Linked DNA regions of Arabidopsis thaliana. The protein of the gene in region 1 interacts with the protein of each later gene in a pairwise test. Each region holds a gene or a part of one and is shown on either strand. Other genes may lie near its edges. The genes, in order: AT1G03520 and AT1G71020.

Region 1 (4,820 bases):
TCTGGAACCACACCATGCCACACTTCCTGTTGGAGTTGTTCTTTCGGTATATTAAAAATTACCTCTACTTGTATGCTATTGCTTCTCTGTTTGATGTCTTGACAATCCACTGCTAAAAGCATACCCGTCTCATTTGTGATTTTACAGGTAATGAGCGCACAAGTAATAGTTGAGGGAATGGAAAAGCATAGTCCTTTGACTGAAGGTTCTATCCTTTGGATAACTGAAAAAAGAACGCCATTGGGACTGGTGGATGAGATCTTTGGACCCGTGAAGTGCCCTTATTATATTGTGAGGTTCAATTCAGAGAGTGAAGTGCCAGAAGGGGTTTGTCAAGGGACACCTGTCTCATTTGTCGCCGATTTCGCTCAACATATTCTCAATATCAAGGAACTGCAGAAGAAAGGTTACGATGCATCTGGGGATAACGACGAGGAGATACCAGACGAGCTAGAGTTCTCAGATGATGAAAAAGAAGCCGAATACAGAAGAATGCAGAAGTTGGAAAAGAGAGGAATGATGAGTGACCAGAAAACCGGTAACACCAGGAACAAGAAGAAGAAAAACCGAGATCCCGGAAGGCCTACAAGCAGTTACTCAGGGGAATGGACGAAGAACCAGGGATCTAGTTCTCTATCGTCAAACCGTTCTGATCCTCAAATGGGTGGTCCGCGTCCTCAAATGGACGGTTTTCCTCCAAACAATGCAGCATGGAGACCCCAGAGTAATCAGCAGAACCCATATCAGCTTCCTCCTATACCTAATCAGATGGGAATGCAGATACCTTTCATGGCAATGCAAAATCAAAATCAAATGATGTTCCAACCGCAGTTCAATGGTGGCCAGATGCCAATGCCAGGTGGACCGGGAGGCTTAAACTTCTTTCCAGGACAGGCTTCAGCGCCATGGCCTGCAATGGTAGGTCAGAATTGTTTCAACCAACAGTTTGGGATGGGTCGTGGTATTCAGCAGCAGCCATTACCAAATGAGCTGAGTTTTAATATGTTTTCTCAAGGTCTTCAAATGCACCCACCACAGTCCCAAATGCACCGGCCACAGTCTCAAATGAATCCACAGTTCCAAATGCCACCACAGTTCCAGCCCCACCAGCAATCTCCAATGAACCCGCAGTACCAAATGATGCACCGACCACAGTCTCCAGCGAACCCGCAGTTCCAAATGCAAGCACAATCTGATGTGCGACCACTACAGTCACAAATCCCGCAGTCACCAAGTGATTTGCAGTCCCCAATGGAACCACAATCTCAAGGGTTTAGCAGCGGGCAGTCTTCTGAACGGGGAAGGGGCTTCCATGGTCGTGGTAGAGGTAGAGGGCGGGGTCGCTTCGGACGTGGGCGAGGTAGAGGCCGGCAACAGTCTGGATGAAACTTTTTTTGGAAGCATACTAAACTGCTAATGTGTGTCATAGCCAGGCTATATTTAGTTTTGTATGCCAGTTTTTGTATGATTATGATCTTTTTTTTTTTACACATTCTCTATAACAGTAAAACGAACTTTGATTTCTCTGTTGTTCCTTCTCCTTGTACCACCAAAGTCAAACTGGCTATAGAGTAGAATAGACTATACTCACTAGCAGTGAATTAGGCAGCAACATAAGAACAGTGTTTTTTTTTTCTCGCCGTTAATTTCGTTACTTATCTAACGTATTATTATGAGTTGATAATGCCACGTGTACGTCATCGCTTGTAAAGGGTTTGAGAGTCGTACATGATCATTAAATTCTCTACTGATTGATTTTGATTTTGCCAACAATTATTAAAGCTTACACCACGAAATGTTTGATGTTTAAATTAATTGCCATGTCTCTCTGTCTCTCTCTGTATCTCTCTCTCTCTTCTTCCCCGCGTCGATTTCACATTTTCTCTTTTAAGACAGCTTTGAATCTACAGACAACTTCATTTTTACCAAAATTTCTGTTTCTTCAAAGGATTGAACTTTCATATTTCTCTCTTGCCCAGTTCTGAGTTATTGCAATCAGAAGTTGTAAACACTTTTCCTGTCTCTTTCTGCTACCCGAATTTATCTTCTTTAGCGTCTGTCTCTTTCAGCGGACGTGTCTTGTCTCTTTAAGGTAATTTCAAGACTTAAACTTGAAGTATCTCTGGCCTTCTTCTGCTGTCTGTTTCATTTTTGAAATCGATTTGGAGATTAGATCTGACTCAGCTTCGACTAAAAGCCATTGCTTTCGCCTTTGGATTGTTGATTCCCTAGTGGATGTTCTTTATCTCTTTAAAAAGGTCCTCTCTTTTAAATCAATTTTTGCTGAACTTGCCCAATTCGGAAACTTTGTTGCAAGTCTCCTCTTGGTCTCTGGTAATCGTTTTCGCATCAATCCTTATATTGATTTGAATCTGTAATCAGATTCGATCTTTGATGCTAATTTGGTATTCTATAGAAGACAACATATCTGAATTGGGTTTCTTCGTTGGATAGGATAAGTGGTTAGGGAATGAGAAAATTGTATAGGAAGCTGGTTTCATTCAGAGACCCATTTGCTAGGGTCAAGAGACATGTTAGTTCACATTCAGGGTTTAGAGCTTTCAGCGACAGAAAATGGTTGTTCCCTTTTCTAGCTAGCTTGATCATGTCCATTACTCTTCTGATTTTGTTAATTTCTGGCCAATTCGACAACTTCTTTGGGGAAGAAGATCAATTACCAGTTGATGTTGTTTCAGAGTCTAATGACTACTTTGTAGAATCAGATTTCAAGCAATCTATGAATTCGACGGCTGATGTTAATCCAGAGCCTCCTAGATTAGCTTATTTAATATCGGGAACAAAAGGCGATAGTCATAGGATGATGAGGACTTTACAAGCTGTGTACCATCCTAGAAACCAGTATGTTCTGCATTTGGATCTTGAGGCTCCACCTCGAGAACGGATGGAGCTGGCCATGTCCGTGAAGACTGATCCGACTTTCCGTGAAATGGAGAATGTTCGTGTGATGGCTCAGTCTAATCTTGTTACTTATAAAGGCCCTACAATGATTGCTTGTACTCTTCAAGCCGTTTCAATCTTGCTAAGAGAAAGCTTACATTGGGATTGGTTTCTTAACCTTAGTGCCTCGGATTATCCTCTAGTAACACAAGATGGTTAGTAACTCTCTCTATAATGCTTTAGTAGTCTATGATCCTTTTGAGCTTTATATTTAGTTGTGACTTATAATTTTGGCTTTTCTTTTTGTTTCTGTAGATTTGTTGTATGTCTTCTCAAATCTGTCTCGGAATGTCAATTTCATCGAGAATATGCAGCTCACCGGATGGAAACTGTAAGTATAACCATGCTTCATTATTCAGAGTCACACCAGAATCTCAAAGCATCTGTACTTACTTGGAATTTCTTAGCAGGAATCAGAGGGCTAAATCAATCATTGTTGATCCTGCCCTATACCTATCGAAGAAATCCGATATCGCTTGGACTACTCAACGGCGATCACTTCCAAATTCTTTCAGGCTATTCACTGGTTATCTTCTTTAATCTCACAGTTTCATATCTGTGAGAAAGATTATGAAATGTTTGAAGATGATTTATGTCTTAATTCTGCAGGCTCAGCTTGGATAATGTTGACTCGGTCTTTCCTCGAGTACTGCATTTGGGGATGGGATAATTTCCCAAGAACAATACTAATGTACTACACAAATTTCGTATCTTCTCCTGAAGGATACTTCCACACAGTAATCTGCAACAGCAAAGAGTTTATCAACACTGCAATCGGTCACGACCTTCACTACATTGCTTGGGACAGTCCTCCAAAGCAACACCCTAGATCTCTCTCGTTGAAGGATTTTGACAATATGGTCAAGAGCAAAGCTCCATTTGCACGCAAGTTCCACAAAAACGATCCTGCGTTAGACAAGATCGATAAAGAGCTATTGGGACGGACACACCGGTTTGCACCAGGAGGATGGTGTGTCGGGAGTTCAGCTAATGGCAATGATCAGTGCTCTGTGCAAGGTGACGACTCGGTGTTGAAACCAGGACCTGGTTCTGAGAGGTTGCAGGAGCTTGTTCAAACACTTTCCTCTGAAGAATTTAGGCGAAAACAGTGTTCTTGAAGTTATCTACTGATGACGCAAAATATAACGTTGTACAGTATATTGTTTTGTTTGATTATAAATTTTTGGTTATAGAAATTTCTTCGAAACACATGAATTAAGAACAAGTGACGTGCAGTGGGCTTTTATGGGCCGTATAGCGTCAGTGAAGTGGCATTGATAGGGCCATATTTATAGGGGACCAAGAATAAGGCCCAATTAGCTTGTACAGCCGAAAATAAAAAAGATCGCCGTTGCCGGGGATCGAACCCGGGTCACCCGCGTGACAGGCGGGAATACTTACCACTATACTACAACGACTTTGTTGTTTGGTTGTTTAGAACATAACTATTTAACAACAAACTAATTTGTATTTCTTGAAGGCTGACGCCAACACCGAAAGCTCTATCTCCACCACTCCATGTCTTCTTCGTACGCGTCGAGCTGCACTAAATTGATCTCTCTCACCAAACAATTAAGCTCTTACGCGAACCAAGGAAACCATGAACAAGCTCTTAATCTCTTTCTTCAAATGCATTCTTCTTTCGCCTTACCTCTCGATGCACACGTCTTCTCACTCGCTCTCAAATCGTGCGCTGCAGCTTTCCGTCCTGTTCTCGGTGGATCAGTCCATGCACACTCCGTCAAATCCAATTTTCTGTCGAACCCATTTGTTGGATGCGCGTTACTCGATATGTATGGTAAATGCTTGTCTGTTTCTCATGCTCGTAAACTGTTCGACGAAATTCCTCAGAGGAATGCGGT
Region 2 (5,115 bases), about 26 Mb from region 1:
TTACTCAAAAAGATTCTAACTTTGATACCTAAAACTAAGTAGAAAATTGAGGAATATAATACCTTGGAAGTTCAACCATGAAGTAAATCCTTTTGGATTCCAAGTTTTGGTGAGGCTCCAAGGGCTTTGCTCTGATTCCTAAACGCTTCACTGCTTCGGATTCCAAGAGAACGTGGCCTGGAAAATCTTTAACCACTGTACCAGCTTCCACAGGCGTTTTCAGTTTGAAACTCTCGCCATTGATGTTCATGATTGTCGCTGTTTTCTTGGTTCCCAAGCTATTTCCCATTTTGGTGAATGATGTTGTGTAAAATGTTAGTATCTTTTAGGTTCACAAATGAGATGAAAAAACTTTGTAGGTTGGTGTCTATTAAGAGCTCAGTAGTTCAAGGTGGGTGTTGTGTTAGATCAGATCATTATAGATTTTGGATTTGATTTATGGTTGGTTGCTGATGATAGTGAACCATTTCTTGGTCAACAAAATGCCAAAATCTTGAAAATTATTAAAACAATGAGAAGACAAAAGTTACGTCGCATTTCACTATCAATCTTGAAAAGACCAATAACAACCCAAAATTTATGCTTAATTTTATAAATAGAAATGGAAAATGTGTACTGTTCTTCACTTCGACCATAGTATATTTTGTACTATGTGATTTTGGAAGTTTTGAGACCAATGTTTTCTGAGAAAATGACACTTGCGTTAATCGCTCCGATTAATCTGGAAAACTACGTTGTCGAAACATTTTTTCTCAAAGACACGTGAAGAGATTGACTTTTAACGAATTTGAAAACAAAAAGCTGATTTGATTTCTCTTTCTAGGAACAGTAACAACACACGACCTTTATCAAATCATATGAAACATTTTTTTTAACAAAATTAACAAATCAATACAAAGATGAGTCAAAGAGTTCGATTCTCGTTAACTCTTTTGACTCCACCTTCTCCTCAAATGGAAATTAAATTAGTCTTCCAAAAACTCAATAAGATACAGGACATAATAAACAGATCAATAGCCAGCAAAACTAAATTAATTCATGTTAAGGGCTATTTAGAGTGAACCTAATTTTCGGGATGATTTACGGAGAAGCTCTAGTAAAGAATTAGCTTTTCGTTTAGCTCTCTCTGTACCGTCTCTTGATAGTTCCATCAATGGAACAACAGCTCCAAGTCTACCAATGGAGATCAGTTTTTCAGTATCTCTCTTGCAAAGACACAGTAGTATCGCAGCTGCGTTCTCTCGGTTTCGCGGTTGATCCTTCTGGAGACAATCTATCAAAGGTGGTATTGCGTTGGCTCTCAAAATCGCAGTTTTCGCGACTTGGTTACTAGCTAGAACCGAGAGTATGGTCAAGGCTTCATCAGCCATCCTCTCGCTCGAGGAGTCTGTCAGCATTTTCACCAATGGCTTTACTATACCGGCTCTAACTGCTCTGCCTTTGTTTCCCTGGTAAATACACAAGTTGAACAGAGCCGTAGCTGCGTCTTTCTTCCCTCTGACGCTTCCATATTGAAGCAGATCCACTAAGGCCATTATCGCACCTGATGCGCCTATAATGATCTTGTTCTCATCAGCTAACGAAAGACTAAAGAGAGTAGCTGCAGCGTTTTCTCTAGCTTCCATGCTTCCAGCTCGGAGGACTAGCACTATAGATGTGACTGCTCCTGCAAGCATGATCAGTTCTTTGTTGTGTTCGTATATGGAGAGGTTAAGAATGCAAGTGACAGCATTTTCCTGCGTTTCAGTGTCACCATCTGAGGTCAAAAGCTTGACCAAAACAGGGATGGCTCCTGCCTCTGCAATCAGAATTCGGTTGTCTGTGCTTCTTTTTGACAGAGAGCGGATTTCAGAAACCGCAGTCCTGCGGTCTTCGATTGATTGGCTAGAGAGTTTACAAACCAATGCTCGGATCGCTGACATATCTCCACTTAGATCACGGAAAGACCCATCACTGTTTTTGGTCCTACCGTTCATGTAACCACCTGGTTGCTCAATGTTGTGCTTAGTGCACCACTGAGATATCAGGCTTCTGAGGACATAGTTTGGAGTAAGAGTAAAGTTTTCAAGTTTCTGCTGTGTCTTTGGGCAGCTCAGATTTCCACAGTCTATCCATCTCTGAATGAACGACCTCTCGTATGTCTGCCAACGAAGAGAGAAGATCATTGTTAAGGTTTCAAATCAACAACCATACGTTAGCACTATATAAAGATTTGATTTTTTAAACCAGACCTGTCCTGTGGAAACAATAGCAGGATCCTTCATCAGTTCCAGAGAGATTGGACAAAGAAAGTCCTCTGGAATCGTGAGATTATCCGATTTCTGTGAGTCATCGCTGTTCTCGGTAACTGCTTTCTCTAATCTCTCATCATCACCATCCTTTGATAAAAAGAAGGCCAATGATACTGAAGAGCTCTTCCAAGGAGGGGGTGATTCAAATTTCTTCTCATCTGATAAAGAATGCACTGTCTCTGGAATACTCTCCAACTTTTCAATAACTTTTCTATTACTTGAGGCATCTTTCTCCATTGGCTCAGATAAACCACTCGAGAACTTCTTCGAATTTAACGATCCATATCTCTGCATTGCTCTTCTTAACTGTAATCTTGCTAGTTCCACCTAATCACAAGCAAAAAAAAACCCTTAGAAACACCTCCATGGATAGGAAAACCAAATCTTCATACATTCTACATAATGAACAAACTTTTACCTGTTCACGGACTTCGTCAGAGATATCATATCTATCATATGTCAAATCACCTAATGCTTTCTCCAGCTTCCATGTAACACATTGGAACTGGAATGAGATCCTCTTGGCTGCCCCATCCTTCAATCAAAATCACACATCAAAGTTTAGAGAGCTCCTCATGTATATATTAATAATGCTCTTCACTACACAAATGTCAACAATAGTATCTTCCAATCTAAAAAAACTAAAAACAAATTCTTCCTATAAATTACGTTCCTGCCATGGCGAGACCAAATCTTCGTGAAATCACAAATCCATTTTCAATCGTTGAGAATGGTTTAGAATGCTTACAGAGGACTCGCGAGCTTGGAAACTAGTAGCTGAAGACAAAAGACGCTTCGCGGCTTGAAGTCCCACCACAAGATCAGACCACCAATCACATTCATGAGAATTCAACGAAGAAGAAGCATCAGATTCCGACGGCGGAGAAGAATCCCTGATTTCCTCAATCAAATGCGTCAGGAGACCGACTCGTCGCGCGAGATCGGAACAATCCTTCTTAAACAAACCAAAATTCCCCGGAATCTCATTGATTTCAGCAATAAGACCGATGAGAGAATCGGGAGTGATAGCTCCACCAGCCATTACGCCGTCTCACACGGCGGCTTAAAATTCGAATTTTTGTGACTCGCTCTCTCTCTCTCGCTGGCTCGCTTCTGACTCAGAGATGCGTCTCTATCGCTTTTATGTATCCAACGAAGCCATGTGGCGAAAAAGGATAAGTCGCTGTTACGACACCGTTTTGGTTTTAGTGTTTTTTGTTTTAAACTTTTTATCTAACTCTAAAAATGGTTTTTTCTTTTCTTTTTAGTTTACTGGCTTTATATTTTTAGATAAAAGTTTATGTGATACATTTAAATAATACAATAGAACAAACTAGATAATTGAGAGCGAGATTCACGGTGCAAGTAGAGGTTGAAGAGAAAATGATACAGTTGTCAAAAAAATAATCAATTATTATCATTTATATTAGATCAAAACTGTATAATAGAAATGAACTATACTTTTAAATTCAATAAAAAAATCCACTTTTCTATTTATTGAAGAAAATGGTTTGTTGTGTGCTTAGTTGTAAAGTAGATCTTATATGATTGTATTTTATAGTTGTGTTGAAATTTATGTTGGAGTTATGAAATTTATCTGTATGTATTATTTATGTAATCTTAAATGGTAATAAATAGTCAAATTAGTTATTTTTTCTATTTGAAAAGAAACTAAGATAAAATTTCCAGGCCTTTAGATGCATTGTATTGACATGTGTTTCTAGTATATGATCTGTCTTACCCTAGTGTTTATTAAAAGATGGAAAAAATCTTCTTTGTAATTAACTAAATATAGCTTTACATGTTTTATTTTCCCTTAAAAATAACTTTGTATGTGTAAGAAAATTTAATATCTCTTACAGCAAAAATGTTCTAGAAAAATTATGTCAATTAACATAATTTTGGTGAGTATTATATAGCCTGCAAATGGAACGGTCGAACATGACCCGGTAGATCGAATTTTAACAACATTTTAGATAATTTGAAGCATGTATACAAATTGGGACCTATAATTTTCTTAAAACTGTTTTACCACAGTTTAGTATACTTTTGATTAAAATTTATAAACATGACTTACATATAGTTTGTGACAGTCTTGTATTGAAAAGTTATCTCGGTTTAACAAAAGAAAGGTTCAACCACGACATCCACATCATATCGGCCGACGTCCATGCCCGTGACTTCTGCGTCCTACATAACAACCGATAGCAACTTGAAAAATAGACAACATTATCTTTTAGACATTTTTGGCAAGTTTGACTGGCTGGTTTCATAATTATTTTTGGACATATGCAAAAATAAAAAGATCTACATAAAGAAGAGGGTATTCGTCTGAATCAGATGAAGATTAATAACCTTGAAGTGTTTGATGAGGCATGTGATTTTTGCTTGCACATCCACACACAACTCTCCATTAACCACAATACTCACCGTTATTTCTGAAATTTATGGTGTAGTTGTACTTGCGGAACAATATGAAAGTGAAGGTGAGATCAGAGTTTATACAGTTGTGGAAACAACTTCTTTGATGGTTGTAGATCCCGCAATCGTAGAAACAACCTTAATGATGATTGTAGTTTCGATGATAAATATTGGTCCATTTTCTTAGCAAACAATCTCCTCTTCTATACTTGTCAAACATTCATATTCTTTGGTCATGCAATTTTGTTTAATATTTGATGATGTTTGAATAGCGGTTGTACAAATGTATTTACTTTCTAATTTTTATTTTAAGCATGTATGAAGATACTTTAAACAAATTCATTGTGAGTTTTGTTCAAAATATATGTGAACGTGTTTGTACTAGTTGGTGCATATTTGACCG

The links.
Region 2: the proteins of AT1G03520 (region 1) and AT1G71020 interact in a protein complementation assay, tested with the Arabidopsis thaliana proteins (one large-scale study listed by BioGRID).

What each region holds. Positions count from the first base shown.
Region 1 is NC_003070.9:877,204-882,023, reverse strand, and holds AT1G03520 (Core-2/I-branching beta-1,6-N-acetylglucosaminyltransferase family protein), read left to right. Parts: upstream 1-1,764; 5' UTR 1,765-2,470; coding exon 2,471-3,113; intron 3,114-3,213; coding exon 3,214-3,289; intron 3,290-3,368; coding exon 3,369-3,484; intron 3,485-3,567; coding exon 3,568-4,076; 3' UTR 4,077-4,163; downstream 4,164-4,820. Other genes in the region: NAF1 (nuclear assembly factor 1), read left to right, coding at 1-46, 148-1,386; AT1G03510 (Tetratricopeptide repeat (TPR)-like superfamily protein), read left to right, coding at 4,477-4,820.
Region 2 is NC_003070.9:26,789,773-26,794,887, forward strand, and holds AT1G71020 (ARM repeat superfamily protein), read right to left. Parts: upstream 3,548-5,115; 5' UTR 3,334-3,547; coding exon 3,040-3,333; exon of another isoform or gene 2,827-3,039; coding exon 2,710-2,826; intron 2,619-2,709; coding exon 2,232-2,618; intron 2,142-2,231; coding exon 1,053-2,141; 3' UTR 777-1,052; downstream 1-776. Other genes in the region: AT1G71015 (plastid movement impaired protein), read right to left, coding at 63-289. UniProt on the Arabidopsis thaliana protein: Functions as an E3 ubiquitin ligase.